Ovis aries: one gene and its partner. The protein of the gene in region 1 purifies or fractionates together with the protein of each later gene. This does not show direct contact. Links are inferred from orthologs where the notes say so. Each region holds a gene or a part of one and is shown on either strand. Other genes may lie near its edges.

Region 1 (16,257 bases):
CGTAAGTCGATTTGATGTCTGCAGCACAGTCAGCAAACGCCGCCTGCAGCTGAGAGGCCCCGAGAGTCAGCAGAACTGCCTCGCTAGTTTTATGACAATTTAAGAACAGGAGACTCCACAGGACCATTAAAATTTCTGAGCATTGCATCTTACCATCTGAACACATCGCATGTACAGCACATACATATTAATAACAACAAAAAAAGGCAAAGCACCCGACATTGATGTGATAATTTGTTTAGCCATGTATTTCAAATCCAACCATGGGTTTTCTCTTTAGAGACAAAAAAGGAAAGAAAAACGAAGGAAGGGTATTCAAATTGGTTGGGTATGTTGAGATGTGTCTTTTTTATCTTTTCAGCCACACCACACACATCCAGTATCTTAACTTGGGCCCCCTGTTATGGAAGTGCAGAGTCTTAACCACTGGACTGCCAGGGAAGTCAGATGTGTAGATTTAAATCTGGGTTTAGGTGGCAGAATTCTGCAGAGTAGATGAAACCATGGGAATTACCCTCCCTAAGTGCTCAGTATTAGAGGATATGCTGGCTAGTGTATATCTGACAAAGAGAGCAAAACAAGCCTACCTCTGGTGGGTGCTGATCCCTTGCCATGAGCATCAGAATCTCTTCTTTTAGGTCACTGCGAAAAGTATGACCATATTCTTTACTATCTTAAAACAAAAAGGAACAGAGTGAGACATGATCACCATCATGTAAAACCAACATTCTTTTTGTCCATTGTCAGCAGTCATCCATATTGGGGCAGAGGGTGGGGGGTGGGGGAAGGGAGAAGAAAATAAGAAAATTCATTGCTGATATGTATTCCAGGATTCTAGAAACTAGCATGATTCACCATAGGAAAAGGACCAGAGAGTATTGAAAGCCAGCGCCAGTAACTGGCTCCCGGGCAACTGCTAACAGCATGTGGGCCACACTCAAGCAGACTCCCGCTCCCCATGGTTTTACAGCATGTGGGAATCGTCAACGGTCCTTGTACATTGCCACCAGAGCAATCCTGTAAGGCAGGACGGCAGAGCTATGGTCTCAGTGTCTCATGTCAACTTGAGGCAAACAGGAATGGATTTTACGATCACAGTCACCTCGTGGGTGAGCTACAGCATCTTCCACAGTCAGTTTACATGTGTAACACACACACACACAGTCACGGCTGCTCCTTCGAAACCATACTATCACCAGTATCACTGTTCGCTCCTGAAGCACAGAGATGCATCACAGTCCAGTGAATGAAAGGCACAGGCTTTGCAGGTTGCGATCTCGGGTGACCCATGTAACTGACACAAGTGCACAAAACCCAGCCTTTTCTGGTCACAGAGGAACCAACTGAAGTCCTTTCCACCCCACTGTTACTCATGCAATCCAACATGAAACACAAGCAAGTCACCCTGAAGGAGACCTCAACTACAGAGTTTAATTTAGTGAAAAAATGGAAGCTTTCTTCCCTAACCACATTAACACGCTTGTGAATCAAAACGTAAGACAACAGAGTAAGATGGGTCGGGACACACAGACTGAAACTGACCTTTCCAGATCTGAGGAATCATTTCTAGTCGATTGGCTACGTCTAATGCTTGGAGAAGATCTATTAATGTTTGGGAATGGGGAAAGAAGACCTGGTTAAGAAAAATACAAATACATTTTTAAGTATTACTCAGCAAAGACACACACAAACATCTACAATGATGTTAAGACACACACAAACATCTACAAATGTTAAGTCATGAATCACTTACTGAAGGTATCAGGTCCTTATACCACTTCAAGGTGACATCAATTTGTTCCATCAGACAAAGCAAACTAAAGAACTTGGAACTGTGACGGAGAAAGAAAACAGGTTTAGTCTAAAATCCCTGCCTAGTAGGGGAATGATTACATTACAGCACAGTCATATAATGACATATTACACAGAACTTAAAGACAATTTATGTTACAATTTCAAGTGACAGAGCTCAATGCGTGACCGAGGAGGTGCTGCTAACTGTGCTTTCTGGACTTTCCAGTTTGACACTTATCTTCAACTGGTCACTGATGCCAACGCCATACACTCTCAGCTCGTGGTGGAGAGGAGTGAGGATACTACTCAACAAGTGTTCAATGTGAAGAGAGGATCTGGACACATGGAAGGGAACCACCACGCACCTATGAACAGGCTGCCTTCTTACATTCTTGTTTTTATCTGCCTAAAAGCAAACCCATGTAAGGAGTCTCTTTGGGCTCCAACATCTTTAAAAACAAGAGAGGCTAAGATGAAATCTTCAGGGATTCACCCTGCTATGAATTTGAAAATATAAAATAGGACAGTGTGGCATCCTGGGTAGCTCAGCTGGTAAAGAATCCGCCTGCAATCCAGGAAATCCCATTTCGACTCCTGGATTGGGAAGAACCCCTTGAAAAGGGTTAGGTTACCTACTCTGGTATTCTTGGGATTCCCTGGTGGCTCAGAGGGTAAAGAATCCGCCTGCAATGCGGGAGACCTGGGTTCAATCCCTGGGTTGCAAAGATTCCCCTGGAGGAGGGCATGGCAACCCATTCCAGTATTTGGCCTAGAGAATCCTCATGGGTAGAGGAGCCCTGTGGGCTCCATGGGGTCGCAAAAAGTCTGACAGGATAGAGAATAAGCACAGAACAGCAGAAGGAAAAGATACACAGATTTAAAGTTACAAATAGCTTAAAAGATACACAGTGGACACCTCAGTTTGACAAATCAGTTTTACCACTGAACCTTCCAAGTGTTCACGTAACTGGTATCGTTAAAGTCAGGATCATGCTGCCTAAAATAAGACTGCCAAGTCTCCCACCTGCAGAACTGACCACTAGTTGCATACAGGTGTTCCGTTAATGCGAAGGATATATTTCCAATATACTTACTAATAAAAATTACGCCGATGATCGGGGCCAATGAATTTCCGGTTGTCTCCAGTGTTTAAAAGGCCATGGACCTGGTAAGCAAGTTCTAGATCTCTGAGAGAAGAGCACTGAAAATGTAGAAGTAGTAAATAACCATCACTCAGTGATCCTTATCAGCCAAAGGTGGCTCCCTACATGAAGCAAGAAAGTAGATACCTGGGGAAACACGTATACTGATTTAACATTTTACTGACTGACAGCAAGTGAATTATAAGAAATTGGGGGTAGGGATAAAATCACCAAGTTCAGTGAAATTTAAAACAAAATGATGTTAATCTAGTGATTACACCTATATGTAGTATTAGACAAAAACACTTGGGATGTCATGCTTAAGACAGATGGAGTGCTATCTCTAGCATCACTATACTGGCAAAAATCCCCATGAAATAACTCCAAAACCCACCCAACAACAAGTCATTCCCTTCTATGAAACACTATATTGCCAACAACAAACAAGACACCACGGAAATGAGTGTGGACATGCATGTCTGAACACCCAGAGGAGAGAACCTAGAAAGACACACACTAAGTAGCAAAGCAATTATCCTCAGGAAATAAGGCTGCTAAATTCATTCTGAAACTGCTTGAAAATGTTTCCTACGATTAGCACGATAAGCTGAAAAAACAAAACTAGATATAACCATCACTCTAATAAGTTAACAACAGGCAAATATGAAATACTCTGAAACCTTATCTGAAGAAAGGTATAAAAAAAGACAACAAACACAATCCACACAGGGTAGGAATGCTGTGATTTTGTAGAGATTTTAGAGGAATAAAAAATTAGGACTAATGACATGAACACAAGAGTTAGGAAGTGAACGAATCAGGGAGAGTCCTCCCAACCACCAATGATGAATTTAGGAAATGGATAAAAGAAAAAAGAAGTTTTAAGCAAGAAATGGTACTTACAACCCTCATGGCTGACTGAAAAAACATATCTGAAAAATCAAAGTTCAGAAGAGCCTTGGTTACTATGCATAAAGTATGTTTTCAGGTCAGTAACATTAATTAAAAATCCTGGCAACAAAACTGGTAAGGTGTAGGACAAACCTAAAAGAATGAAAACACAAGGAGAAGCAACATACAGCACAAGCCACTGACACTCTGCTTTCTCAGAATAACCACCCAAAGATGGCTAAACTAAATCAAACCCCATCCTCATCACAAGGCTCTATAACCCCAGTCAGGAAAAGAGGCTGGCTGTCTTACGGCAGCAATTTCTGCACGTACCGTCATCGGGGTCCTTTGGAGAAAACTTCTTTCCCGTTATTTCATCCATGATATCATAGATGATGAGGGATGATCCTTTTGAAGGGCTTTCTGCAGAAAAAGAAGGCAACTGGGTTTTCTCAGGAGCCTACTTCCCGCACTTCCATGGGGTAGGCAGAACTAGTCCTAAGGCTGCCTTTCTCATTCCTCCACCCAAGCCATGGAGCTGGCCAAGCATATCCCTGTGAGAGGAATGAGAGCACCCTCTGCTGAGTGCAGCTCTCCCCAAGGCCTGGGTCAGTTACAGCGCTCCCAACAGACGCAGCCCCTCCTTCTTAGTCTCCTCACAAGGCGGACTTGCACTGAAATGGGAGACAGACGGACACCCTCACCAAGCCTGCCTACTTAGAAAACAAACATGTTTTTTGCTAATAAAAATTTGTGCTCCTTTTAAATATAACCAGGATGAGAGCCAAGAAACAGAAAACTATAGAATCAAAATGTATCTGTGACATTTCCAGTTGAACATTTCACATTATTTATCTATATTCCCTTCCCCACCTATGCACCTGCAAGTGATAATATAGTTTCAGTGACAGCACAGATGTACTTCTAGTTCCTCAAGGATGTTTGCACTTGTTACTGTTCTAATTATTCTATTTCCTAATAGCCTATTTTATATGTATCATCTCTTCATTATTTTAGGCTTTTTCCTTTGGGTAAATTCCTAGCAACTATTATTACAGACAATTATCGATTTATATCCCTAAGACACACTGACACTCCTGCCCCTATGACCCTGGGTGTTACTTAGGAAACACAAGCACCAGTGACTTTAGTTAGCCAAGGTGATGTGTGATGTAGTAGTGGAATAGGCTTTAGGGTGAGAATTACTTAGTTTTAGTACAATACCTACTCTTGCCTGGAAAATCCCATGGGCGGAGGAGCCTGGTAGGCTGCAGTCCATGGGGTCGCTAAGAGTCGGACACGACTGAGTGACTTCACTTTCACGCATTGGAGAAGGAAATGGCAACCCACCCCAGTGTTCTTGCCTGGAGAATCCCAGGGACGAGGGAGGCTGGTGGGCTGCCGTCTATGGGGTCACACAGAGTCGGACACGACTGAAGTGACTTAGTAGTAGCAGTACAATACCACCAAAGTTTAGTAAAATTTTAGATGACAAAATTACTGTGGAAACAGTTCACCTGTTTTCAAGATAAAGTCATTTAACAGCTCCTACTTCCCTATGTGTGAGAATGTGAATTTTGCAAAACTACCCTTCCAAAATAAAGATTTTCTGTTGTTTTCACACAAAAAGCCCACTGCAGGAGAGAAAGACTGGAACTGTCATTTCTATACCTAGGGTTGTTTCGCAGGTTGGGGCAAATGGCTAAGAACCTACAGTACTTACTACATGCCTCCCAAACATGAACGGGACACTACACATAATTCATTTCATCATTACATCGTGATGGCATCACTTGGGTAAGACATCCAGTCCCTTCCCACACATCTGGTAAATGGTAGAGATGAAATTTCAACTCAGGTGTGCCTTGCTCCAAAATCCATTCAATAGAGCACAGCTGACCTAAAATTAGGTAACAAATGGAGCCTTGAAGTTCTCCCATGAGGCTTCAAAATAATGTTTACTGTGGAGCAGGACTATCCAACAGCTTCCTGCAAAGACGGAAATGTTCTATAATTGTATCACTGACGATGCAGTCAGCAGTCACAGGTGGCTACTGAGCACTAATGCTATGAAGGAATTTAATTAAATAGCCACGTGTGGCTAAGTAGCTACTGTATCGGACAGCACAGTTCTAGAGGGCAAAAGGAATTCCAAACTCAAGTACCTTCTGGCCAAAACCATATACTACCCGTTAGTACATTTAATGACCTTCCTCCACTCCGACTTAAGTTTTACATCACAAAAAGATGACAGTACCCGCACGAGTAACTTTTTGCTCAGGCTATAGACAACGCTATTCTGTGAACTATCCAATCTTTATTCATTAGCAGTGAAGTTAGCCTAATCTCTACATAAATAACATAATGACATACATACATACCATGTTGATAAAACAGCTGAATAATATGATGATATGTTGCAAGCGAGGGTTCTTATGTTACCAGGTACATAGAAAAAAGAAAAAAAAAAAGAAATGTCAAACACAGCTATACAAAATATAGCTTACTGTGAATAAAAACATTAGTGGTGTTATGTAAGTAGAAGATGCATTCCGTTCCTCTGAACAAAGACATTTCCCAGCTGATGTGATTAATGTAAAGGTGGAAAGGTGTCATAGAGATCACATTCCTCTTAGAAAGTCCAGACACCTATCACTAAAACATTACAGTCAATACTCTTGTGAGTTTCATTTAAGAACACTAAAAGATAGAAGTGAACTGATTCAATAACATAAATACTGAAAAATATACAACATACTAGCACACAATTGGGTTCAAATACTTAATTATGCCAGAAAATGTCACGAGATTTTAAAACCAGCCAACTGTAAGTGAACAATTCTCCCTAGAATCAAGAAATCCATTAAAAAGTATCTAAAATCCCAAGAGTGTAATTTACTATAAGCAGCAAAAAGATGATAAAGAAGAGCTCCCATTATACTAAATATACATCACTGAAAAGTGTGCTTAATGGTGGAAAGGAAATTCCTACCATATTATGTAAACAGCACAGAAAAGTTTAGTCTCTTTTTGGATCACCTGGACCTGAAGCCTCAGGTCAGCACTGCCTCCAGTGGGGACATGAGGACACCCCTCACCTATCCCGATGGCTTTCATTTCCCGGAAGGTCTGTAAGGCTGGCAATTTTCCAAATGCATAAAATCTTCGGAGACATTTGAGGATAGTGTTAAAAGTCTGTAGATTGGGCTTCACGTTCTGTGCAACCATTTGTTTCAGCAGGTCCTAGTTGAATCAAAAGCAGGAGTATTATTTTTTTTAATGCCCGGTGGGTAATTTGTCCAATAAACTAACAGAACACACTAAAAGAATTGGGCTGTCTGCCTATGTTTAAAGCAGATTAATAAATAAGCCCCCCATTTAAGAATTATCTAGTGCCCCTGAGAGAAGGCCCTTTCAACAGTCACTCTAACCCCCATGTGATGTCCGTGTCCAACTGTCTCTAGTGGCCTAAAGAGTCTAAGACTGAAGCAAAAGTAGAGACTAGAACAGACTGGTTTTTCCCTTTTCACATGAGCAGTATGGTATGGTATGCACGTCCCTGGTGGCTCAGTGCTAAGGAACCCAGCTGCCAATGTAGGACACGCGGGTTCGATCCCTAGGTCGGGAAGATCCCCTGGAGAAGGAAACGGCAACCCACTGTAGTATTCTGCCCTGAAGAATCCCATGGGCAGAGGAGCCTGGCGGGCTACAGTACCTGAGGCCGCAACGAGTTGGACACAACTGGGTGACTGGACAACAATGAATGGTATAGTGTGGTTTCCATTCCTGTTACTTTGTTCCTGTGATTTCAATTTTTAAAAACTTTCCGAGTAATTTTTTTCAATAAATGTTTTAATATAAAAAAAACCCCACACTATTATAAGGAAATAAATGAATATAATATAGCAAACTGATCTTCCTGGATTCTAGCTGTATGCTTGGGTCACATGTCAGATACAGCTAATTAAACTAAGGGTTGCTAGAAGGGTATGAACAGGCCACTGCAAGTGGAGTGCCCAGTGCAAAGATGACCACCACAAAGAAGCTCAGTGAATGCTCTCTCCACCCCATGCACTCCGAGCAAAGGATGGCGGTTGGTGGTGGTGTAGTAGGTGAGTCATGTACAACTCTTGCAACCCCATGGACTGTAGCCCACCAGACTCCCCTATTCCTAGCATTTCCCAGGCAAGAATACTCGAGTGGGTTGCCATTTCCTTCTCCAGGAGATCTTCCCAACCCAGGGAATGAACTAGTGTCTCCTGCATTTCAGGACTCCCAGCAAAGGATATTTTGGCCTATTAGTAGCCAAAGTGAGGGTTCCTCCTTACCAATATATTCTTCCACTTTTCTTCAAATTTCGCATTCGCCACCAATGCTGTTGCTTCAATTAATGAATTGAAGGTGTGCACATCAGCTATAAAAGAAGAAAACTACTTTAACAAAATTTGGGGTCAGTGATTAAAGGCCAAGTGGTCATGCACATGAGTCCACAAAACTAGAAAACCACTCTTTTCTCTGGCTCTGGATTCTCGTTTCAATCACCAACATCAGAGGAAAAGATTAAGAATGAGCGAATCATTAAGGCAAAATCCTGCGATTGTATACACTCCTGATACAATGATACACAGGTAAGAATGCAGAGGTGATGCAGAGGTAGGGAGTCCACCAGCCAATGCAGGAGACTCGGGTTCAGTCCCTGGGAGGGGAAGACCCCCTGGAGATGGAAATGGCAGCCAATTTCAGTATTCTTGCCTGGGAAATTCCATGGACAGAGGAGCTTGGCAAGGTACAGTCCATGGCATGCAGAGCTAGGACATGACTGAGCACGCACACACGCCCACATATGAGAAGGAAAGGAAGGACAGAGATGAATTCTCCAGACACAACTCACCACGCAGTCTGTTGTTTAACAGTTCCGTGTACAAGCTTAATGCCTGTGTATGAGCTCGGTGCTGGAAGAGGGAAAGGATGAAAATTAAACACCATAAAAGTTGTCTTTAATAAATATTTGCATATCTACTGTTCTTAGAAGTAAAAGGATAGACCAGAATGGACAGTGTTTTTCCTTTTAAATGAGCAGTGTGGTATAATACAGTTTCTATTCCTGTTACTTCAATGCAGTGATTTCAATTTTTAAAAACTTTTTCCTAATAATTTTTTTTCAATAAGTGTATCTTATTTTAATGAAAAAACAACTATGAGAATTATATTTTCACAACTGGGGGATGGGAGGATGAATTACTGCATCAAGTGGGTAGAGGCAGTTCTCAAACATTCTTCAAGGCTCTGGAAACCCCCAACGACAACAAACTATGTGGCCCAGCTGTGAAGGGTTCTGCGGCTGAGAAACCCCGATTCAGTAGAAATTAAAGACAAAAACATACAACTATCCAGAACAAATGTTACCTTCACCATTCCTCGAATCATTGTGCAGTAAGAATGTGCATTTTTCTCAGGCATCAGAGCAAAGATTCTCTCAGCATGGTTTTTGGCTCTAGACACAAGAGTAAACGTGAACCAGTGGAAACAGATAAAACCAGTAACAGCTACCACATGGAGTATTTGCAACGTTCCAAGCATTTTCTGCATATAATTTCAAGTAATTCTTCCCACCCAGAGAGGGAGATCTGGTTGCTGCTGCTGCTGCTGCTAAGTCGCTTCAGTCATGTCTGACTCTGTGTGACCCCACAGACAGCAGCCCACCAGGCTCCCCTGTCCCTAGGATTCTCCAGGCAAGAACACAGGAGTGGGTTGCCATTTCCTTCTCCAATGCATGAAAGTGAAGTTGCTCAGTCGTGTCTGACTCTTAGCGATCCCATGGACTACAGCCCACCAGGCTCCTCCATCCATGGGATTTTCCAGGCAAGTGTGCTGGAGCGGGGTGCCATTGCCTTCTCCGAATATATACTCAGCATTATAAATAAAAAGCAAACTGCACAGCAGGGTACACAGTGAAGTTCCTCCACCCTCTTTCAACTGGATATAAATAATCAGAGGCAACCGCAGACATGTGGTGCCCTAGAATCCATTGTCCTATTCTAGCTTATATAATCTGGCTCTTTCAGTCAGTCAGTCAACGTGCTATGTTATACAAATCACGCTGCACCTTCATTTTCTGTTTCCAACACATCTTGGAAAATAGAGCCTACATTTGGGCCAAAATGGTACTCACAAGTCCCTGTTCTCAACCACTATAAGAAATTATTAGTATCTACTGAAGAAGTTTAATTTTTCTATTCACTCATTTTGATATTAACAGTAGCTTTCCTTTTCCAGACACCCTTACGAAATACCTTTCTTTTAGACAGTTTTACTCAGTTCATTTGAATCCTGAATCATTACATAAATGATATTTATCTTTTGTTCGGTACTGAATACTTCTGTTTGTTAGCCAGCCGTCTTAATTTAGAACTACGCTCTGACATATGTGTATTCTAACATAGTTTTTAAAATTCTGAACCTTTTTAGAGTTAGAGGCATATAGTGCAAGGTAGGACTACTAATGAAACTACCAAAAGAACCATACCATGACGGTTACATGGAGTTAGGCGGGGGAGGAAAAAAAAGAAACCAACACCAGTCCTGTACCTCTAGCTGGTTGGAAGTAAAGATCTAATAAAAAATGGCCCAAACACATGAAAACCAACGGTGACATTTACGTTGCACACAGAGAACAAACTGCATTTTAGAACACTACAGGGTTGTGTCTTCTTCAGGGGGTGACGGAGAACATTCCACAACCGTAAGGATCCATAAACGTTCTAATTATCCTGTAACATACCTCCAAGTAACTCCAAGCTGGTGACCAGCCTTCTTCTTAGACTTCACGTTATCCCCCTCTTCGCCCTCTTCCTGAAATGAGCCATCACCAACAGATATAAAACAGAATACGACAACGGAAAGCATTCTCCAAGCTATACTACTCAGAACCGGTAAGGCAGAGGAAATTTCAGAAAAGCAAAGGAAATAAAGATTTGGTAGAAGGTAAAAAGGAGACCCTGCCTATATATGCATGAATTTTCAAGAGGGCTGGGGCCAGGGGTGTTCCCTTCTGTCCCATATACAACATATTGTCACTTTGAGAAACAACAACAAAGGGGCCCATCCAAACATTTCTGGTCACTGGTTTCTGCATGTGGCAGGCAAGGTCAAAATACTTTTAAGGAGGGAACCAGGGTAAAACAATTGTTAAAATCCATCTCTTCCTCCACATCAACTTTTGTCCAGGCTACATACTGTGCTATATCACACCTCAGCACAAATCTCTAACATAAGGCGTAAGAAATCACCTTAAAATGAGAAAGAATTACTACCAAAAGAAACTTTAAAAAATCATTACCAACTCTTCTGATTGTTCCTGTTGTTGGAAATTATAATTAGTGGAGGGTTCTTGGTTTCCATAGTAACACAACAAATCCAAGAGACTGTTAGTTGTTTCCAGAGATACAGTGGTTCCTGTGGGTGGTGAAAAAAAGGGTGAGGGGGAGAATCTTTCAAACATCAAAGAACTAAAGCCTATTGGATTCCATTCTCCAAGGGCGAGTTGCACCCCACATCAGCTTAAACATCTGGAGTGATGCAGATAACACAGAATCCCTAACAGTGCTGTCTGACAGAAGAGATAAAATACCAGAGCCAAGTTTGACCCTGGGCTCATTTATTCTATGTACTCATATTCCCAGAGAAACCCTCTCATAGTTCTACCTATCACCTTCGAAATGAACGCTCTGGAAATGATTGCCACGTAGTCCCCCAGGGCCCAGTTCTGTCTTCACAAACGCAATCGGACTGTTTCGCTTAGATCCAGGCCCTCGCTGAAATACATGCCTAGAGATAGCAGCCTTTAAAAAATTACTGTTTCAAACATTATGTTCCCAACTTGACACTTATCAAGAGGGAGAAAAGGGAACAGGAAGCAGTATGAATTTAGTGCTTTAAAAAGAAAAGTAGCTGAATTTTTCTTAAGAAAATATACTGATAATACAAATGGCTATCAGGAAACTTAAAAGCCTTTAGAAAAGACAAAAGACAGAGTGGAGGGGAAACAGGTGATGGTGTGTAACCTGACTGCCTCATAGCATCTCAAAGCTGTGACCCTGAAGATTACTTGAAGTCAGTCAGTTTCCTTTATAAACGACTACAAGCACACCAACTCATAAGGTGTTACAGAATTAAATGCCTACAAAGTGCTTGGCACTTATTAGGCCTTGATATTGAAATTTTCTATATTTCCTCTCCTAGTATGTCGACTCATTCCATTACTCTGAATGAGCTGAGTGTTACAGCTCTGACCCTGTCTTTACTAAGGTTCACTGAACAGCTGCTTGCATCTACACCACACAGTGTGTAAGACAGAGGAAGACAAGTCTTAATATAATGATGTTTATCATATTCAACAAGCAGAGGAAAAAGCCTCCCTAAATGACAATCTGCATCAGCAATTCATTTGTACACCTGATGCTTTAACAGGCTACACACCAAAATTCTTTAAGTTTTCTGAAAATGTTTCTTGCCATATTCAAGACTATACTGAGTGATTCAGTCCAGTTTCTCTCTCTGGACTGAATGTTTGGCTGATTTTTATCCTAAACCACTGACCAGCATACCAGATTCCAAAACTTAAGCAATGCTGCTGCCTTCATGCTACTCTAGGTATATTCTCATCTCATGGTAGCTTACAAGCCCTGCCACCTAAACCCCTAGAGGTTCATCCACATCAAATTCAGATAGCCACAGGATTTGAGAGACAGAAGGATTAAAGGAATTGAGCTTTTCAAGGCTACAGCACTAATCAGTGCCAGAACCTACCCAAGCGTCTGATCCTGCAGCTTAGTGCGCTTTCCTTTTTAAGTATTTCTTTCTAGTCTGTTTTTTGCCTCTCACACGTACTTAAAGAATGTAAGAAATGTGAATACAGTATGAACAAACCTCATGTTAAAAACAGAAGCTAAGAAAGAATGGCTGTAAGATTTCTCTACCTGCACAAGAGGACAACACACGGGCAAGGACAACTCTATCCTACCCAGTTTTAAAATGACACTAAAGCAGAACTTGAAATATGACTTCCTAAACTATAAAAAATATAAAAACAGCTACCAAGCAGAGGAAGAAGCATAGCACTTTTAACTCGTACTCACAACTGTCTAGATCACGTGCACAACTGTGGCCTACTTCCACGCCCACATTCCCAGGGGAGCTTCACATGAACCTGGGGGCTTCAAATGAACTTAGTCACCTGCTTGCAAAAGCTGATCAAATATGTCCACAGAAGCTTTGACTTTTTTGAGCTTGATTCGTTCCTGCAGAGCAGCCTCACTTATTTCTTCAATCTGAGGTTCAAAGTACTCAGGCATTAAACACTAGAAAATAAGATGGTTAAAGTCAGTGCCAACAGGTCAATGGGAAAGCACAACAGAGTAAGACAACACACCACAGTATTTGATTAACACACCATAATATTCATGCTTCATGCATTAGATACCACCTATCATTTTAACATGAATGTCTCTTTAAGGAATCTAACTCTACCTCTCTAGTCACCAAAACAAGATTACTTAGAGATCTCCTAAGTTGGGGCAAAGAATTTAAAAGCTCCTAATTATAAATATTTAGTCTGTATTTGAAGAATCCCATATCGAAGAACTACAGCCTAACGAATTAAAAGTCTCCACTTTTCCCAGTGAATTTAGTTCCCAGTGAACTAAATCCCCTAATTTCAAGCTGAACTTACTATTTTTCCCTTGCTAAAACCACCCTTCCTACTTTCCTCTCAATCTTGGCCGAAGGTTCCACAGTATATCTAGTTTGTAAAGACGGAAACCTTCCCTCCCTGATAACTTCTTTTACTGTAAACATTCAGTATTACCAAGGTATGTTGATTTTACCTCACTCACCAAATTATTCAAATACTTAGGGACCCAGGGAAGGCTTCAAGCAGAAGTGAACTACACACAGAAGAGTAACTATTGGTCAGAAACATAGAGGGGAGAGAGCAGGCCCTACAAATGGTCACTCCACTGCTGTCACTGTCTTCGTTCAGGATTTCAACCTTTATGGACACAATCACTCTGACGTCCTAATTTGTCCCTAAGATTTGCTGTTTGAGAAGCACAAGGGGTGTCTGGGTGGCTGGGTGTGTGCGCTTACAAAGTAGGGAGATATGAGAGGAAGCGGTTTTAGACACAATGAGTCTGAGTTACTATTTCCACTACTTAGCTCAGAGGCAGAGCCCATGTTCAGCTGAGCACTGTGGGACCCACTAAGTGCAATGCCAAACACCCAGCAGGCCCTCCACACTCACCCCTCAAGCCCACAGAACAGAGGGGGCTGGAAAAAAAGTGTCTGGAGTCCAAAGTAGAGACACTGAGGCCAACATACAAGAATGCCAAATGGAGTATAAGGGTTGGTGAAGCAGGAAGATTACAGTGAGAAAAAAAAGAGAGTGACCAAGTACGGAATCCTGAGAAAAAGACACCAAGGTTTGAGGAGCGGATGGAAAATCAACTAAGGGAACCAGAAAGGGCAGTCAGAAGTAAAGATCTGAGAGCCTGGTGTTGCAGAAGTCAAATGAAGAAAACAAAATGAAGAGCAAATACATGTAGTTTTAAAAATGATAATAAAGGTGAGTACAGTGAGCAATGATAACCATAAATATTAAAAGACGTAAATATTATCTGGGTGAAATAATATTAGACCCAAATACTGTAGACATTCAAATGGCTACTGAAACGTTAGTTGTGACAGCTTAGTTTATATTTACATAGTATTATCCGAAAACTGCAATTACCTCTCCTTACCGGTATATGAGGCTCAGCTATGTCTTTCAGAAAATATTTGGGATATGAATTAATAATAAATTTTGCTGCATTCTCTCCGGACTTCTTTGCCAACAAAAATGAATGCTGTATAAAGAAAAAGACGTAAATTGATACTACATATAATTTAGATCAAAGTTATACCCTCAGCAAGAATTATTCTGCCCTCCCCCGCCCCAACCAAACAACACTGTAATACACAGAATTCCAAGTTAAACTACCTAATTATTATTATTATTCCGCTGAATGTGACATGATTTCAGGTTGGATCCTACATACAGCTTGAGGTGTGTAAAAACAATACCTTTAAACTGAGTGAATTGCTCTAGAGTGGGAAAGATTTCAAAGTACTAAAAATCCAAACCAAATACCTTCTCCATAGCCAATCTCTAAAACTTTTTGATAAAAGTAGTAAAGGAATCAGAAAATCTACCAACTTATCTATTAGCCTCTATGAACTTTTCAAAGGTGTCTACAAGTAAAATAAGTCATATGTGTCATCCTGTCACCCAAACCAACAAGGTAAAACATAACACTTGCCAAGTTACCTAAAAATACTCACAGATTCCACAGAGGATGTCGGGATGAGGTAAGGATCATCCTGAAATGCGTAAGGTACAGCTGTGGTATCCTGTGGAGAAGACACACAAGTCTCTTTAGCTAGGCTTTTATTAAGAGGACCGTGTGGAAGTTTTAACTGCATGTATCACAAATGCAGAAATATGTATGTTGGTAGACACTAACACCTACGCTGTACCCTAGGCTCTGTGAGACTTGGTTATAGTTATGCACAATTTAAAGCAAACAATGGCTTAAATCTCCATGACTGGTTTTAACTAGGGGCTGCTATCAGCAGGGATATCACCGTTTTAAATGCAAAGTCAAGAGCCTCTGAATTAACCAGCCTGGGCACCAGTTTCCTGAACTAGGGTATCCCTTCAACGCATGGCACTAACCACCCAAGAGGCTCCTTCAAATGGAGGATAACATTTATATGCGGCCCTCTCAGGAAGTGGGAACAGCAGCAGCGTCTCCAGTGTCCTGTTTCCCAAGGTTCCAAACTTCTTTAAGTTGTTTCAGGTAGAACCCTGAACAAGATTAACTCTTTGGCACCAGCAGTCTCTCTTAGAATGGCCCTCAAATTACTTCCTCTATTCCTCCCCTCTCCTTCACAGCCCCCTTCTCTGTACCTTCTGGCAACTTTGTTTCACAGAAAAAACTCAACCTACTTCCTGAATCTCTTCTGACAGTCCCCTTGCCACCCTGAAGTATTCACCTGGACTCTCTGGGGGAGAGCTTCCCTGTGGTTCTTAATAGAAGGATGCCCTGACCTAGGGCCTGGAAGCAGTACTTTTTAGGGCTCTCAGTTCCTGATACCACTTTCAAATCCTGTATTCCCTTTACCTTCCTCTGAGGCTCATTTCATCTGGTTCACAGGTGATCTCTGGGTTTCACAGGTGGCGAAAGTGGTAAAGAACCTGCCTGCCAATGCAGGAGTAAGAGACATGAGTTTGATCCTTGGGTTGAGAAGATCCCCTGGAGGAGGGTATGGCAGTATTCTTGCCTGGGAAATTCTATGGACAGAGGAGCCTGGCGAGCTACAGTCTGTGGGATCA
Region 2 (15,361 bases), on another chromosome or scaffold:
CAGCTTATCTTGCCCTTCCAGCGGCAGCTCTCACTTCCGTCATCCCACTTCTTCCCAGCGTAATAAGTTACTGAGCTTTTACTCTGTACCCTTGTAGATCTTCGAATATATCAGAAAAAGCAAACACAAAACACAAACAAGTATCTCTGCCCTCTACTTTCTGGCAAAAAGAATATGCACTATTGATTAGCCTATGATGATATATGTGCACTATGGAGAAAAGTCAAGCAGGGCAGGGAGGTCAGATGTAGGCACAGACGGGCTGCTATTTTAAAAAGTGGTCAGGGAAAGCCTTCCTAATCTTTCCCTGAAATAACAGAGGAAGAAAGCCATTTGGTTCCTGGAGGAAACAGTCTTCCTGTCAAGAAGTAAAGTAAAAGTCTTGAGTTGGAATATGCTGGCACATTCCAGGAAGAGAACTGTGAGGCTGCTGTAAACCAGGGGGAAAGCAGTAAATGTGAGTGGGGCCCACTGTGAAGACTCCTGTAGGGTGTTGACTTTTGTTGAAAAGTGAGACTGGAAGCTTCTAAATGGTTTTGAGCAGAGAAGTGACCCAGAGTCTGACACAGTTTTTAAGAGAAATGGCTGGAGACAGGTGGGGCAGGAAATTTGGTAGCAGGGAGCTCACCTAGCACATACAACGATCCAAGTGAGAGACAAGAGGCTTGGACCCCTGTGGACAGAGGTGGTGAGAAGCGGTCCGATGCTGGGTATATCAAAGGCAGAACCAAGAGGATCTGCAGACTCGTTGGATGTGGAGTGTTTTAAGTGAGAAGTCAGGAGACTTGAGGATTTTGGCTGGAACCCCTATAGATGGACTGTTACTGAGATGCGGAAGGTTGAGCATGCAGCAGCCCTTGTCACCACTCACCTGCTCAGTCTGGGGACACCCTCACACTTCCACAAGCCTGCTCTCCCCCTTTGTCTCCTTGCTGCTGAGCCCAAGGGACACTTTTCAGCCTCCCCCTTCTTGGACTGTTTGGTTTTGATGCCCACTGAACCACTTCTTGGTTCTCCATGATTCCGTGATGCTCCCCTTCCTAGATTCCTCACATCTTTGGGGCTCCACTCTATTCTCCAGTCACAGCTTTCAAAAGCCACCTGATGGGTGGTCAACACCCCACTCCTTAGCTTCACATCTGCTTCCCACACCTTCCCTATGGATTCCCCAGACATTGCAAGCAAACAGAGCCCTCCCGTTTGTGCAGCCCCTGTTCTAGCAAGTAGCTCTATCTTCTTCACCATTCTACAATCGCCAGATTCTTCCCTCTTCCTCGTTCCACAGTCAGCTAGTCCCCTCAAACCGGCAACTTCTGAGAACATCTCAAATTTGACCTTTTCCTACTACCTTATCTATGGTCTCATCTTATCTGGGCTTCTACAACGTCCCATTTTTCTGTCCCAGAGTAACTTAAAATGGTAACTATCCTATTTAAAAGTCATTCATCCGAATTCCTTGGCAGTCCAGTGGTTAGGACTCCACATTTTCACTGCTGAGGGCTCAAGCTTGATCCTTGCTCAGGGAACTGAGATCCCACAAGCTACAGCCAGCCAAAAAGATAATATACAAACATCATTCAGACCCCTTATCACCCAGACAGAAGGGCTGTACAGCTGGCTGCCCCAAGCCAGTAAGAGGTGCTAAACATCACTTGGATAGGTATTTATGCAGGTTGACTTTTTATCATTTATAACTTTTAAAAGCCAGCCAGCCAGACTGAAGGGATCTAAGCAGGCTCTCCAATATCTGAGGCACCATTCAGAGCAGGGAGTGGCAGAATTCCTAACGAATGCTCCTTCCTCAGCCAAAAAGCAGCCTTACCAGCCTTGGTGAAACTATAGAACCTCAGTAATGAGCCTGTCATGAACTATACTTGCCTGTTTACCTCTGCCAGATGCTCAATTCCCATTCAGTGCCACTACCTTAATTTCTATCAGCTCTCCTCTACTGACTCAGTATCGCTTCTCAAACCCCCACTGTGCCCTGCCCTGTCCTGTGGATTTAGCCACTAGCTGCTTTTTTGAATGTTCTTAGCCTACCTCTCCGCAGACTTGTGCTGAGGACACTCTTTTGAGCTTTCAGTAGTGGCTTTCTTTTTCTAAACCCAAAGTACTGTGGTGCCTGATGGTGGGCTAATTCGATTACACCATTGCCACTTTTAAATTCAAACTTCCTTGAAGCCCATGCCTTCAAGCTAAGCTCAAGATCCAGCAGCACTCCCTGACATTCCAGGGCCTTCACCACACCTACTTCTATCAACACTGAGGGAATTTCAACACTCAAGATCCTTTTGAACACCATGGTCTATTTTTGACCCCTTTACCTCCGGTTTGGTCTTCTACACACGTGATCTTAACCTGAACTGTCACTACCAGTGCCCCAGGTCTCCACGCTTGTTGGTTTAAGGCCAGCATCTCATTCTTCCAGCTTCCTTAACTAGTACTTTTACTCCACCAGATCACTTTGGAACCGTGTCAGCTCACAGACTCATTTCAATCACCAAAGCAAGCTATGTGCTCTCATCGGCTTTCACTAATAAGGATACACCTCCTAGATCTGGGGACCCGGGAAGTGGACGCTGAGGACAACAGCATCAGCTTTACCTTGGCACTCACTTAAGCCTTATTTGGCGGTGCTGGGTCTTTGTTGCTGTGCTGGCTTTTCTCTAGCTGTGCTGAGTGCATGGGCGTCTCACTGCGCTGGCTCATCCTGTTACAGAGCACAGGCTCCAGTGTTCAGGCACCAGGCATTTCAGCATGCGAGCTGCAGCTGCCCTGCAGCACGTGGGATCCTCCCAGACCAGGGAACGAACCCACTTCCTGCACTGGCAGGCAGATTCTTTACCACTGAGCCACCAGGGAAGCCTCTGCATTTGCTTTCTGTACCTTTACTCTTTTTTCCCTTCTGCTGGATTCAGCTGGCCAAGCTCGGGTGAAACCCAACCCTCTACCTGCTGGCAGTTCTACTTTCTTGGTATACTTATTTTCCTATTCTCCAAGACAACTATTTTACATCCTTTTCTCTCCTCTAACCTCCCATCTCTCATCTTTTCTAAAACCCAAAAATGCCATTAAAAAAAAAAAAAGAATTTGTATAGATGGATTGACATCATTCTTAGTATCCATGAACATGTAAATCTTCATTTCGCTTTAACATCTTTCAATAGTTTTGCTTCCTCCCAGATTTTTGGAAAATGCTACTACTTAGTTCTGCATGCATTTCTTTGATACTACTGTATTTCTTATATGAAATAAATTTTCGCTCTTTACTGAGTATCCATTCTTGACTACAAGCTCTTCTGGTTTGTTACCACTATCACCTATTCCTTAAGTATTACCTGACTGCCTAGGCCACCCAGTACGAGCTTCAACAGAAACCAAAAGCATCCTAAATGAATTTTAAAGGAATAATAACAGACAACAAACTTGATTTGACTGAATTGGCACTCAGTTCCTTACCATCTTCCTGTGCTCCAGCTACACAGCTCTTCAGGAACATGAGGTATTCAAACTTACAGCGGGAAAGCCTGACTCAAGGGTAAGCAGCTAGGGCAGAGCTGTCAGAGGAAGTCGCTGCAGCAGAGGACTGCGGCCACCGCCCCCTCTAGGCTGTCTAGTCCTCATACATAGTGAACTCAGCATGAGGTGCTGGGTGACATGAGAAAAATACACAAGAGAAAAACAATGTTCTGTCTGCAACACTGGCAGCAAGGCTACATCACAAAAAGCTTTCTTCCTTGCCATGGTTTTCAAAATCACATTCTTACATTATTGGATTATATAAGCAATGTTGAAATCATTTCCCACAACATATATCCTAATGCATGCAACTGTTAAAAAAAACACACTACATTTTACATACCATGAGCAGTGCTCAATTGTCCATACCATCCAAAGAGTTGGTCCCAAACTGAGAAAAGGCATTTCAAGGTGTTAACTGATACTAGCCCAGCTACCTGCCTATTTTTTCCCAATTTATTCACCAGTGCCCTGAACCAAAACTACCACTGCAAATCAACTCTCAGCTCTGTGAATGCCAAGCCCCTTCTGAACAGGCACACGGCACTGCATGACTTCCAGATATGCCTCTCTAGCCAACTGTATATCCCCAAGGTCTCCAAAACTGGCCAGAACGGTCCAGAATGTCTCTGGATAGCAGTCATCAAATTATTCCATAAAGGAAAGTAAGACACTATAAAATATGGAACACGCTTATGTTACAAGGGTGCTGAGGACAAAATGAATGTCACTGACCTCTATATTCTTTAAGCAGCCTTCCCACAAGCATTCCATCATTTGTGGTTACCATCTCTAGTACCCAAGTAAAGGAGCTGAGCTGTGTTTACTGAGTACAGCAGTCTCTGCGGCAGACATCTGCTAACTAAGGTGGGTGTCCTTCAATCTGCAGGCTGAAGTAACTCACAGTTCTGTTAGTCTCCACTAGAACATGCCCTCTCTTTACCACTGCCTCCCAGTAAAAGGAACTCACTGAATGGAAAATGGCCAGATTATCGTAGCAAATTCTAATTTTCAGTACAGGTATGCTACTCAACAAATGATTACACATTTTAAGAGCATTTCCTTGAGTAAATACCACTAAGTATCACCTATCTGCAGAGATTTAAGTTAATAACCAGCTAAGTACTTGTAAACTAAAAAAGCAAGGCAGAAATATACAACAAAGACAATTATTTAAGACCTTTATTAACAGGTGCTTGCAGTTTGTTGACTTTTTTTTTGAAAAAATCAAGCTGTAAACTTTTATTACAAATTAAAAATGAGGTTCTTAAAAATCTCAACTTGACCAGATATGAAACAATTTAAAAACCTTTAAAGGTGTATTGAGAAAAAACAGGCTTTTTTTTTTTTTTTTAAAAAACACGTTTGTCATTACCAAAAAGAGACGTCTTTAGGTAAAAATAATAAAAACCCCATGCTGCATAGATAATGCAGATAGTTCTAGTTATCTGGTCAACAGGCAAAAAGCAAGCACTTAAGGTCTTCAGCTCCAATCTTTTGTTCATTTCTTATTGCTGGAATTTCATATTCATTTCTTCTTGTTGGATGACTAAACTGTAAGAGAGAAAAAGAAGTTTTCTAATTACCTTCTATAGTTCACTGCAATCTTTCAGTATATCAAATTAGCTAGGCAGGGAACACATCTCATACTGGTTTACCTTTACACAGCAGTTCATAACAGGAGTGGGCATTACTATATAATAAGAATGGTTACTCATAGGTTCTGAATGACCTTTTGACACTCAAAATAGGGGGAAAAAGTCTCACTGGCTGAAAATGATAATTCTAGAGTCAAACAGAGACAAATACATGTCTCCTAGAATCAAGTAAAAAGGGAATCCTCTTAATTTTAGAATTGATGATGTAATGCCAAAGCCACCACGTAAACAGACCATCCTGGTCATCATCACCTACGTTTTTAATCTGAGTAGCCATCCCACTTATTTTTGAAAATGAAGAATCTCATAACGTAATTACTTGTAGTCAGCAAGACTTTCCTCAGCTTACTGGTGTTTGTGTGTGTTCTCAGTCATGTCCGACTCTTAACAACCCCCATGGACTACAGCCCACCAAGCTCCTCTGTCCACAGAATTTTCCAGGTAAGAATACTGGAGTGGGTTGCCATTTCCTTCTCCAGCTTACATTAAAATCATCCAAGAAAGTTGACAAAAAAGCCCTAATACAAAAGATACAATGCAAAGCTAGGCCAAAGTATGGCTCTGATATACAATCCATTAACAAAATGACATTCAAGTCATCTTAAGATTAGTTTGGGTAGAAGACACTGTAAGTTTGAGTGGCTTACCTTACCTGATGAACTGGGTTTTCCTCTCTTTCATTAATGGACATCACTCATGACTGCCCAGAGGGCCATCGAGGCTTACTTACCCGGATGATGGTAGAGATGGTAAGCCGGCATTTACTCAGCCCCGCCCTGCTCAGCCTCGGGAGCGGACGAATTCTCAGCTGGTGGATCGGCTGCTTTTGTCTCTTTGCCATCTTGTGGTTTAGGGTTTTCTGGGCGTCTGCGTCGGTAATTGAAGTTGCGGCGGTACCGACGTTGAGGTGGCTGCTGACCTTGGGTCTCATCTCCTTGGTTTTCCTTATCTTCTTCATTGCCGTCCTCTCTGGGCTGTCTTTGGCGAGGAGGGCCCCTGGAATGAACATTGTGGAAGCTTGCAATGATAAAACCTTTCTTTAATCAAGTCACCAGGTCAACACATCTGCTCTTTCTGTTTATCAAGTGGTATGCAGGCAATTTATCAAAACTGAAAGAGTAAACTTGGTTTTTACTTCACAAATTGAGTATGACGACTTGGTAAAAGGATTTGGAAGTGTAAACTAAGATGACCGTTTAAAACTGATTTTAACAGTCTCATATTACCCAATATATCCATATATATACCCAATATATTCATAGATAGTTGAGTGAAGGTTGGGGAGCCTGGAGTGCTGCAGTCCATGAGGCCACAAAGACTTGGACATGACTTAGTGACTGAACAACACACTCATATTATTCAAAATACCCATAGTATAACCTATTCCAAAGTTAGCCATGAAAGGACTAAAGCTGTACAATACCATCAATACCCTAATGCTATTTAAAAACATGGGTATTAAACTAACCAGGTTTGGAAACAAGTGCTAAACTTTATAGATGAACATTTGTTTTTTTTAAAAAAAGCAGAAATCAAAACCAGAGAAAAGGTATTATCTTCATATAAATCAAAGTACACAGCAACCATTAGTTTGGGAAAGGCAGATCAAAACCACTTCATACACACCAGGAGAGCTGAAAACAATCACACTGGGGAGGGGGTGGAAAAACCCCTCAATGCATTGCTGGCTGGTCTGGCTATATAGAATGGTGCAGCAGCTTTGTAGAACAGCTTGGAGACTAAATGACCTAGCAGTTCTACTTCTAGATCTGTATCCAAAACAATATCCACCACGCATTATTTTAACATTCACAACAAGATGTGAAAATAACCCAAATGCCCATCAACCAAGTTAACGAAGAACAAAATGTAATATCCATACAACGGAACCTGATTTGGTCATAAAAAGAAATCAAGTACTAATGATAAAGGCATGAATGACAAATACACGAGGTGAAAGCCAGACACAAACTAGGCAAATACAGAGACAAGGAAAGCAGCAGCCAGGGGCTGGTGTGAATATACTAAAATCCACTGAGTCTCACACTTTAAACACCAGGATTACCAGCATGCCTTTACACCTGTGTAGGTCATTCCAGCTCTAACTATTTACGATTCCATTTCTCACCGCTAACCCCTCTAGTCTTCCACCTACCCCTCCCAACTTCCCCCGCCCCCCACAGCCCCCACCACCTCTTCTCCTGAAACGGTTTTCCCATGTGTCTGGGAACTCCTGACCAGTCTTCGGCAAAACTGCCCTGGCCCTCCCCTGTAGCCTTTTGAATTCTAAAATCCCACCTTTCAAATCTTAACGTCATGTTCCATTTTACTGCCCTTTTCCTACTGTAATTATCACGACAGTTCCACATAACATGGGCTTTTAGATTCTTTCAGTTCAGTTCAGTCGTTCAGTCGTGTCCAGCTCTCTGCGATCCCATGAATCGCAGCACGCCAGGCCTCCCTGTCCATCACCATCTCCCGGAGTTCACTCAGACTCACATCCATCGAGTTGGTGATGCCATCCAGCCATCTCATCCTCCGTTGTCCCCTTCTCCTCCTGCCCCCAGTCCCTCCCAGCATCAGGGTCTTTTCCAACTTGTCAGCTCTTCGCACGAGGCGGCCACTTTGCCTCCCATGCAACTCCTGTTTGCTACTTAGCTTCTCTCAGTTTCAAGCACTCCACTCTCTAGTCACCCTTTACTTCTTTTCCTGGTGTATTCCAGGAGTCTTCTTCTCCCACTCTTATTTCCACTAGGACCTATAATCCAACAATCCTATCGATCATTCTGTCCCTTAACTCTGCCTTAATCCTCTTCTCTCATTTCTCTCGGAAGTGCAAGGTCTACCACTAATGACTATCATCAAACCCAAACCCAGGATCTTTGAGTAGACAAATGCTGAACAAATCTAACTCTGCTTAATCTGAGGCTGCTGCTCAAAATGGCTGGAAAAGCACAAGCATGTTTGGTGGACCCACTTTAAATTTGTGATCACTGTTACTTGACTTCCGCTATTTCTCTTCTACAGATAATTTCACATATTTGTCCCAAACCTCTCACCCCTTTCCTTTTGACTTCACCAACACACTGGTGCCCATAAACTCTGGCTTTTTACACATGCAACATCCACGGTTCCCAGCAAAAGACATCCCATTGCATGGACCAAACCCAATCCTAACTGAAGATAGCTGCAGCAGATAATTCTGACAAGTACCCTTTTTTAAAAATTGCATTTTTCAGCCTACAAATAAGCTCTTATTTCTCAAACAAAAAAAATCCTTTCTTAATGATTCCTTTCCCTTTACTGCCACCTCATCTATCTTCCTTTCAGCAAAACTCCTGCTATACTGATCTCAGATTTCTCACAATCTGCTCTTGGATCTGCATCAATCATTTCACCCCCTGGATTATAAGTAGCATGTGTCATTTACTATTCAAACAAAAAATTCCTGACTAAATAGTTTGGAAAGCCCTGCATTCATCGATAGATTATAATAAATATATTCAAATGAGACCATTAAATAAAACTGAAGCACTCAACAAAAATTCATGTGCTGTTTTTAAACACACCAATGAAAATAGGTAGAAAATTGGCAAAGTTCTACAACGTAACAAGAAGTAGACCAAGGATACTGCCCTCGGGATTTAAAGGGACAGAGTATGAAAGCCTATTTTAGACCGTTTATCACTATCACAGATAAACACTTATCACTATTTAAGAGCTGACATTGTGATTGTTTGCAGTATTTCAACAAGGTATCTGTGTCTAGGTTTAGACAGATGCTACCTGTTAGTTTTAGGGATCACATCTGGAGACTCAATATTCTAAGACCTTTTACTACATATATGCATTAAACCTATCTGGCCTGTGAAGCTCTACCCTAATTCCTCTAATAATTAAACACCTTCTGTTAAAAAGGTACGCTTACCTTTACTTTTCTCCCTCCCAATGAATCAGGTCTTAAAGTTATAATACAATGCAGTTTAAACTACCATTCTCTTACCTGTTAAAGGACAGAAATGGGAAATTCCATACCCTCATTAGAGTAAAACAAAAACAAAACCAACTGCAAAAAGTAGACCACATCTATAAAGCTGTTTTTAACCAGTGCCAGCAAAGATGCAAAGAACACATTCTCAAAGATAACTGACTTCAGGTTCACCTCTTAGGCATCTGATGAAAGAAAATGTGAAGTGTTAACAGACAAATGACTGAAAAAGCCTGCAGAAGCAGCATGCTGTTGCCGAGTCGTAGCACGCGCTCCAGTCAACTCTAAACGCAAGCCGCACCTGCGGAATCGTGGTCTGTAGCCCCGATACAGGTTCTGTCTCACTGGTCTGCCTTGTTCTCCGGCACCTTGGTTGTCAGCACCCTGAAAAGGCAATGGAGACCAAGCCAAATTTTACTCCATTTACATTAGCGCAAACCCCAACCAGACAAAAGTCTGAATACAGCAGCAGTTAGAAGGAAATAAAATCCGTTTACCTCCATCACTTCTCCCTGCACAGGAGGGTTGGAGTACTGTGGTCGACGCCCGTAGGGTCTCCGCATGTAGTAAGGTGGGAACCTCCGCCTGCGGTAGGGCCGGCGCTGTTGGGCCTGGCCTTCGGGAGCGCTCTCCGATCCCTCATTCTTTTCCCCACTCTCACTATTCTGGTAATTCTGCTGGTAATTGCGTGGAGGACCCCTGCGACGTGGATAGCGTCTATAATGGTTACGGTCTGCTGCGTATTTACTGCCTTGCACTGGAACTCCACCAGGGCCTGTAACATTCGCTGCCTCCGCACCCTACAAAAGCCATCATATAGTCATAGTGACAATGGAATTAAGGACACGCAGCAAAACGCACACAAAAAGTACAAAAGGGTCTCTGTGGCCAGGGGTGCAGAGAAATGATTTAACACTAGCTCCTCACTGTTCTGAAGAGGTAGCCCTCTATCTGCAGCCAGCACATTAGGGTTGGTGCACCTGTGTTCAAGTGGTCACCTGACCCATCCATCCACCTTAGAGCCACCATCCTAATGGATGAGATCTCCAAAATATTTCCATACTGAAGTCAAACCTTTACACAAAAAGCATCCTCACCTTTTCTCCTTCAACAACATCAAACTCCACAGTCTCTCCATCTCCTACACTGCGAAGGTACTTCCTGGGGTTATTCTTCTTTATGGCAGTCTAGTAATATCACATTCCAAAAATAGATTAACAGGGGAGAATAATGTGCTTTTTCATTTAAAATGTACCAGAGTCAATATTATTTTAACTTGGATATACAAGTAAAATTAGCTTTAAATAAGACCAAACCATCAATAAATTTAGGAAAACAAGGACCAGTGCTACCCCCAACCTCAACCAAAATACTCCAATCTTACAAGGCCCCAGCATTTTATCACTATTTTCCAAACTAAAGCAAGTAATTTAACACGCAAGACAAACACAACTATAAACATATATTTTAAAATGCTTTTTGCAAAAGCATTATATGTAGCTTTGAACAAAATGAGGATATCCACCTATCCCCAAAGACTGCACTTAATAGTAGAAGCGAGCCCCACACAGGGCCAGTTTAGATGACAGGCGAGTTTAGTTTTGCATGCTTCAAAGTTGACCAAACCAACTTTGTCCCTGTGTTACCATATCAAACTCTGTTACAAATGTCAACCAAAATCCCTTCCAACCTGATTGTGGGAATACTTCGATGGAAATGCAATTCCCATGAATTAACTATGACACTTTTTAATATTCTGTGGGTTATTACCTCCCCAGAATACATTAAATCTCTCATTGTTACTCATTCTCTAGACTTGTATAATAAAACTAAAGGGGAAGAATAACATCTCACATTTAATACTTCCATGAAGTACTTTCATGCATTACCCACTCAATCGCATTATGAAGATGTGAGGCATCATTATTCATTCCTCTTTTAGGGTAATAAAACAGGCTTTAAAAGTCAGGTGACTCGCCCAAGGTCACAAAGTAAGTGACAGAGTATGGACTTTTCTAAATCCAGGTCTCGGGACTCCAAATCCCATGTTCATTCTACTATATCACAGCGGTATCCATTACGGGATCACCCATGCATTTCCATTCCAGAGGAGGCAGGACAACCAACAAATCTGAAGCCAATTAAGCTAAAGTTGCCCAGAACTGCAGTCTCCTTGTAATACCACCAAGACCTGAGCAGCCAAAGTCCTAAGAAACAACTAAATGTTGAAACCACCTCCAAAATAAAGAGGAAAGCATGTTGGTGACAACTTGTGGGTTGGTACAAGTGGGTGACATGTGTTCAGCCAAATAATCGATCTCATCTGTCATCTAAACTGTCACAAAGTTTCCATACCTTTCATGTAACTCTCAATTATCTGCAGTCATAGGGGATAGCAGAAATATTGGTTAATTAAAACCCCAAACTCTTGTTTTGGTCAGTATCAATTCTCTCCTGCACATTCCCAGACCCTTCACTGTTGCCCAAAGGCAGCAAGACTGGCAAGCCTTGCTGTCTGTCTCTTGTACCCAAGTCTGCAAATTCCTTCGAATATGCAGAAGGAAGGAAGAAACAGATTAAGTATTGGTATTCAATTTTATAAAACAAACATTTGTTTTAATACAATATTTTGCCTGAGCAGTCTTTTATTTGTTTAGAATTTAAATGTTTCCATACTTAATGCTTGACCCTGTGATTACTGAACAGGGTTTTGGATGTACCTAGAAATTGATCTGGACTCCCTCTCAATTGTCACTGAGTGGTCTACAGGTCAATGCAAAGAGCTACACAACACCAACTTAAGGCAGTCTTTCCAAGGAAGTATGCTGCCAGCCAAGCTCACACCTGCCTGAATAAAGGCACGAGTGTGGAGACTGACTCTGTCTTTTGATGTCTAAATCACAGTATAGTGGTTAAAAAGTTCTCAAAGAGCGATTTTCAATACAAGTCAATAATATTTCAATAGTCTCAGTAAAAAAACAAAACAAAACAAATCCACTCCCCCCGGCAGAATTCATAGAAGTATGCATTCCTAAACATTTTTCCTACCCATTGCCCGTTGCATTCCTATGGAGAAAATTAAGTCCAATGAAGCCTATGATATACTTAAGGTTGAATTATCAGTGTTCACTTGGCAGCGGCTTAAACAATAAACTTCTTAACGTTTACAGTTGCCCCGAACACTCCCCTTAAATAGTGCTTGTGGACGAGAGCTTGGCATGCAGCACCTATCCTGGCAGTTTTTCCCTCTCAAACACTGAGGCTAATCTAAAAACTATTCAATAAGCAATTACCAACCTTGCCATACCACCCTTTCACTTAACCTTCAACTAGCAAGGATTTCTAAATTTGCCAAGCTGGTAAAAATTCTCCAAACATAAAAACATATCTTACCCATTCAAAGTACTTTAGAATAAACAGAAGGATCTATGCTACAATGTCCAGTTTTTCAACATTTGTCTCAAATCAATGTATTTTGCAGCTTTGGCCTATTTCCCCCATCACTACTGTCATCTGTCAGAGGTAATTCTAACAGCATTTGAGGGTGTTATGGACAGCAACAGTATGGTTCGAATTTAGATTAATGGAGGTTTTCAGTTTATCTGAAATTAGGTTTGAAAATTTAGTGTAAGGAATCAAGTGAATTCAACATTTAAAAAAGCTACAGCTATTAACAAAACAAAATATCAACACGAAAGGCCTATTTTAATTAAGTGAACTGCCAACACAATGTTTTAATGTACACATTTAAGCTGTACTACCCCTCTTCCTGTGGGAACTAAACTGTTTGGTAAGTTGACTTACTAAAACTTTTTTACAAGGAACAATAGTTCAGAAGACATACACCCTTTTCTTCTCACAAGTGTTGAGCCAGAAGTGTAAATAGCCACAGGAGCACTCACCTGGTGTACAAATACATCTTCCTTGGTGTCATTCCTACAAGACAAAACCAAGTAGAACAAGTCAGAAAACTGAACACTCCGATGCATGTTGCCAAAGATTAAGAATACGCTTGGTCCTTTGTACCTTCCCTTCCCCTTTTTAGAGACTTCCCTGGCTGCCAACCAGCCACTAGGAAGGAAATTAAGAATCGAAACAGAAACACAACCAGTAAATCACAATGGTTTTACTAACAATCGTCTCACCACCTACTTCAGAAGGACTACAAAAGGAAAAAGGCAAATAAAAAGTGTGAGCTACAAAGCCATTAAGAGGACAGAAGTGACTAGCAACATATAGTCACTTCTCATTCTACTAAACACTAAAAGTATTCCAGCACAAGCCATTCGTGCCTCTAAGAACATTGTTACTAACTTAAGTAGAAGAGATCATGAACATACTCTCATCAATTAACTACCTTCCTTCCTACTTCATCTTTACCATCCCCAATTCTCAACTTTCATTGAAGGTATAAGGACAACCTCAGAATGTACAATACCAGGAGTGAGCCCTAAATGTAAACTATGGACTTTGAGCAATAAATAATGGTGTCAAATGTAGATTTGTCAATTTAAACAAATGTATCACTTGGTACAGTATAGCAGAAGTGGTCATGGATACAATCTGAAGGCCTGGGGTACACGGGAATTATGTATTTTCTGTTCAACTTTGCCATGAACAGAAAGTGCTGGTAAAAATAAAGTACTGATTAAAGTAAAGCGACAGATTACAATGAAGTATAAATATGAACACTACCAATACCGACATCATTCACATGGCAAGCCTTGTTTGTGCCAGGAAACCAGGAAGTGAAGATGAATGCAACTTTTCACCAGCACACAACCCTCTTTTACTTCGTTTTAAGACATCATTTTTACACCAACCTTCGTTGTTTAGTTGTCTCTTTTGTGACCCCCACGGACTGTAGCCCACCAGGCTCCACCATCCATGGGATTTCCCGGGCAAGAATACTGGAGTGTGTTGCCATGTCCTTCTCCAGGGGATCTTCCCAATCCAGGGACTGAACCTAGGTCTCCTGCACTGCAGGCAGATTCTTTACTACAGAACTACCTGGGAAACCCACACCAATCTTTAGTCTGTTGTTAAATAGGGGAAAAACTGTGAATGAATGGATGTTAGCAGTGAGGGGGCAGTGGTGAATGACTTTCTAGAGATTGGGAATTAATGTGATGATACTACTAGTAAAAAGAACCCCTGGAGAAGCAACATTTCTGGACCTTTCCTGACTCACCCCACCCTGCTGTCAGTAGGTCAGAGCTAAGAAAGGACTAACCTTTCTAGTGTTTATGCACCAAAGAATCCATACAGCATGGGAATATCATAATCCCATTCTGACATTCTCGCAAACAGGATTAATTTAAACTCTTCAAACACACACACCCCACCCAAGGCAGGGTGAGTGAAAACTGACCTTATAAACTAGCTGAGTATTGTTGTTTAGTCACTAAGTCGTGTCTGACTCTGCAACCCCATGGACTGTAGCCTGCCAGGCTCCTCTGTCCATGGGATTTCCCAAGCAAGAGAACTGGAGTGGGTTGTCATTTCCTTCTCCAGGGGATCTTCCCAATCCAGGGATCAAACCAGCGTCTCCTGCAATGGCAGGTAGATTCTTTACCACTGAGTCATCAGGGAAGCCCCATTGAGTATTAGGAACACTTAGGAATTAACAGCCGGCTGGAGTATCCATCTGTCAAATAGGTCCACATACATCACACAATTCCATAGCCACCACTAGTTTTCAGATGCAACATGACTGAATTTCAAGCTCTAAGGTAGTTCCAAAGACGGGGGCGTTACTTTCATTACCTGAGAGTAAAGGATATAAGACTTGCCAGATGACTAAGGTAAAGGACATTTGGTATTGGACTTCCATTAAGTAAATTTATTACTTGAGTTTTTTGGGGGAAAAAAAGAAAAAGGAATTTATGGTTTTAATATGCATCAAAATTTTCTTAAAAAAAAAAAAAAAGAGGCAACTTTCAAGAGAGGGATTTTTCATTACTATCAATGCTGCTGCCCATGGACCTGAGTAGCTAACATCATTTTTTCTAATGTAGCTGCAAATAGGTATTTACAGACTGAAAATACACACCACAATAAAAAGAAAAGCAGTTGTCTATGAATCTTACTTTAGGGTTGTAAAGGGAATTTTAAAAAATTCACCAAATACTTCTCTAGTCAGTTGATCTAGTTGCAACTTGTTACACAGGGGAAAAGCAATACGTAACAGCTTATA

Evidence for each region.
Region 2: the proteins of PTCD3 (region 1) and YBX1 purify together in Homo sapiens (co-immunoprecipitation; 4 studies listed by BioGRID and IntAct, with this or other methods). This does not show direct contact. The link is inferred for Ovis aries from reciprocal best matches to the Homo sapiens genes PTCD3 and YBX1.

The regions. Positions count from the first base shown.
Region 1 is NC_056056.1:58,031,110-58,047,366, reverse strand, and holds part of PTCD3 (small ribosomal subunit protein mS39), read right to left. Parts: intron 15,273-16,257; coding exon 15,204-15,272; intron 14,729-15,203; coding exon 14,624-14,728; intron 13,187-14,623; coding exon 13,063-13,186; intron 11,283-13,062; coding exon 11,167-11,282; intron 10,680-11,166; coding exon 10,609-10,679; intron 9,322-10,608; coding exon 9,234-9,321; intron 8,780-9,233; coding exon 8,719-8,779; intron 8,242-8,718; coding exon 8,156-8,241; intron 7,071-8,155; coding exon 6,926-7,070; intron 6,260-6,925; coding exon 6,209-6,259; intron 4,251-6,208; coding exon 4,161-4,250; intron 3,869-4,160; coding exon 3,840-3,868; intron 2,996-3,839; coding exon 2,889-2,995; intron 1,833-2,888; coding exon 1,754-1,832; intron 1,634-1,753; coding exon 1,543-1,633; intron 674-1,542; coding exon 588-673; intron 50-587; coding exon 1-49. UniProt on the Homo sapiens protein: Mitochondrial RNA-binding protein that has a role in mitochondrial translation.
Region 2 is NC_056054.1:17,192,738-17,208,098, reverse strand, and holds the end of YBX1 (Y-box-binding protein 1), read right to left. Parts: intron 13,102-15,361; coding exon 13,068-13,101; intron 10,353-13,067; coding exon 10,263-10,352; intron 9,966-10,262; coding exon 9,663-9,965; intron 9,550-9,662; coding exon 9,467-9,549; intron 6,174-9,466; coding exon 5,939-6,173; 3' UTR 5,908-5,938; intron 5,074-5,907; 3' UTR 4,688-5,073; downstream 1-4,687. UniProt on the Homo sapiens protein: DNA- and RNA-binding protein involved in various processes, such as translational repression, RNA stabilization, mRNA splicing, DNA repair and transcription regulation.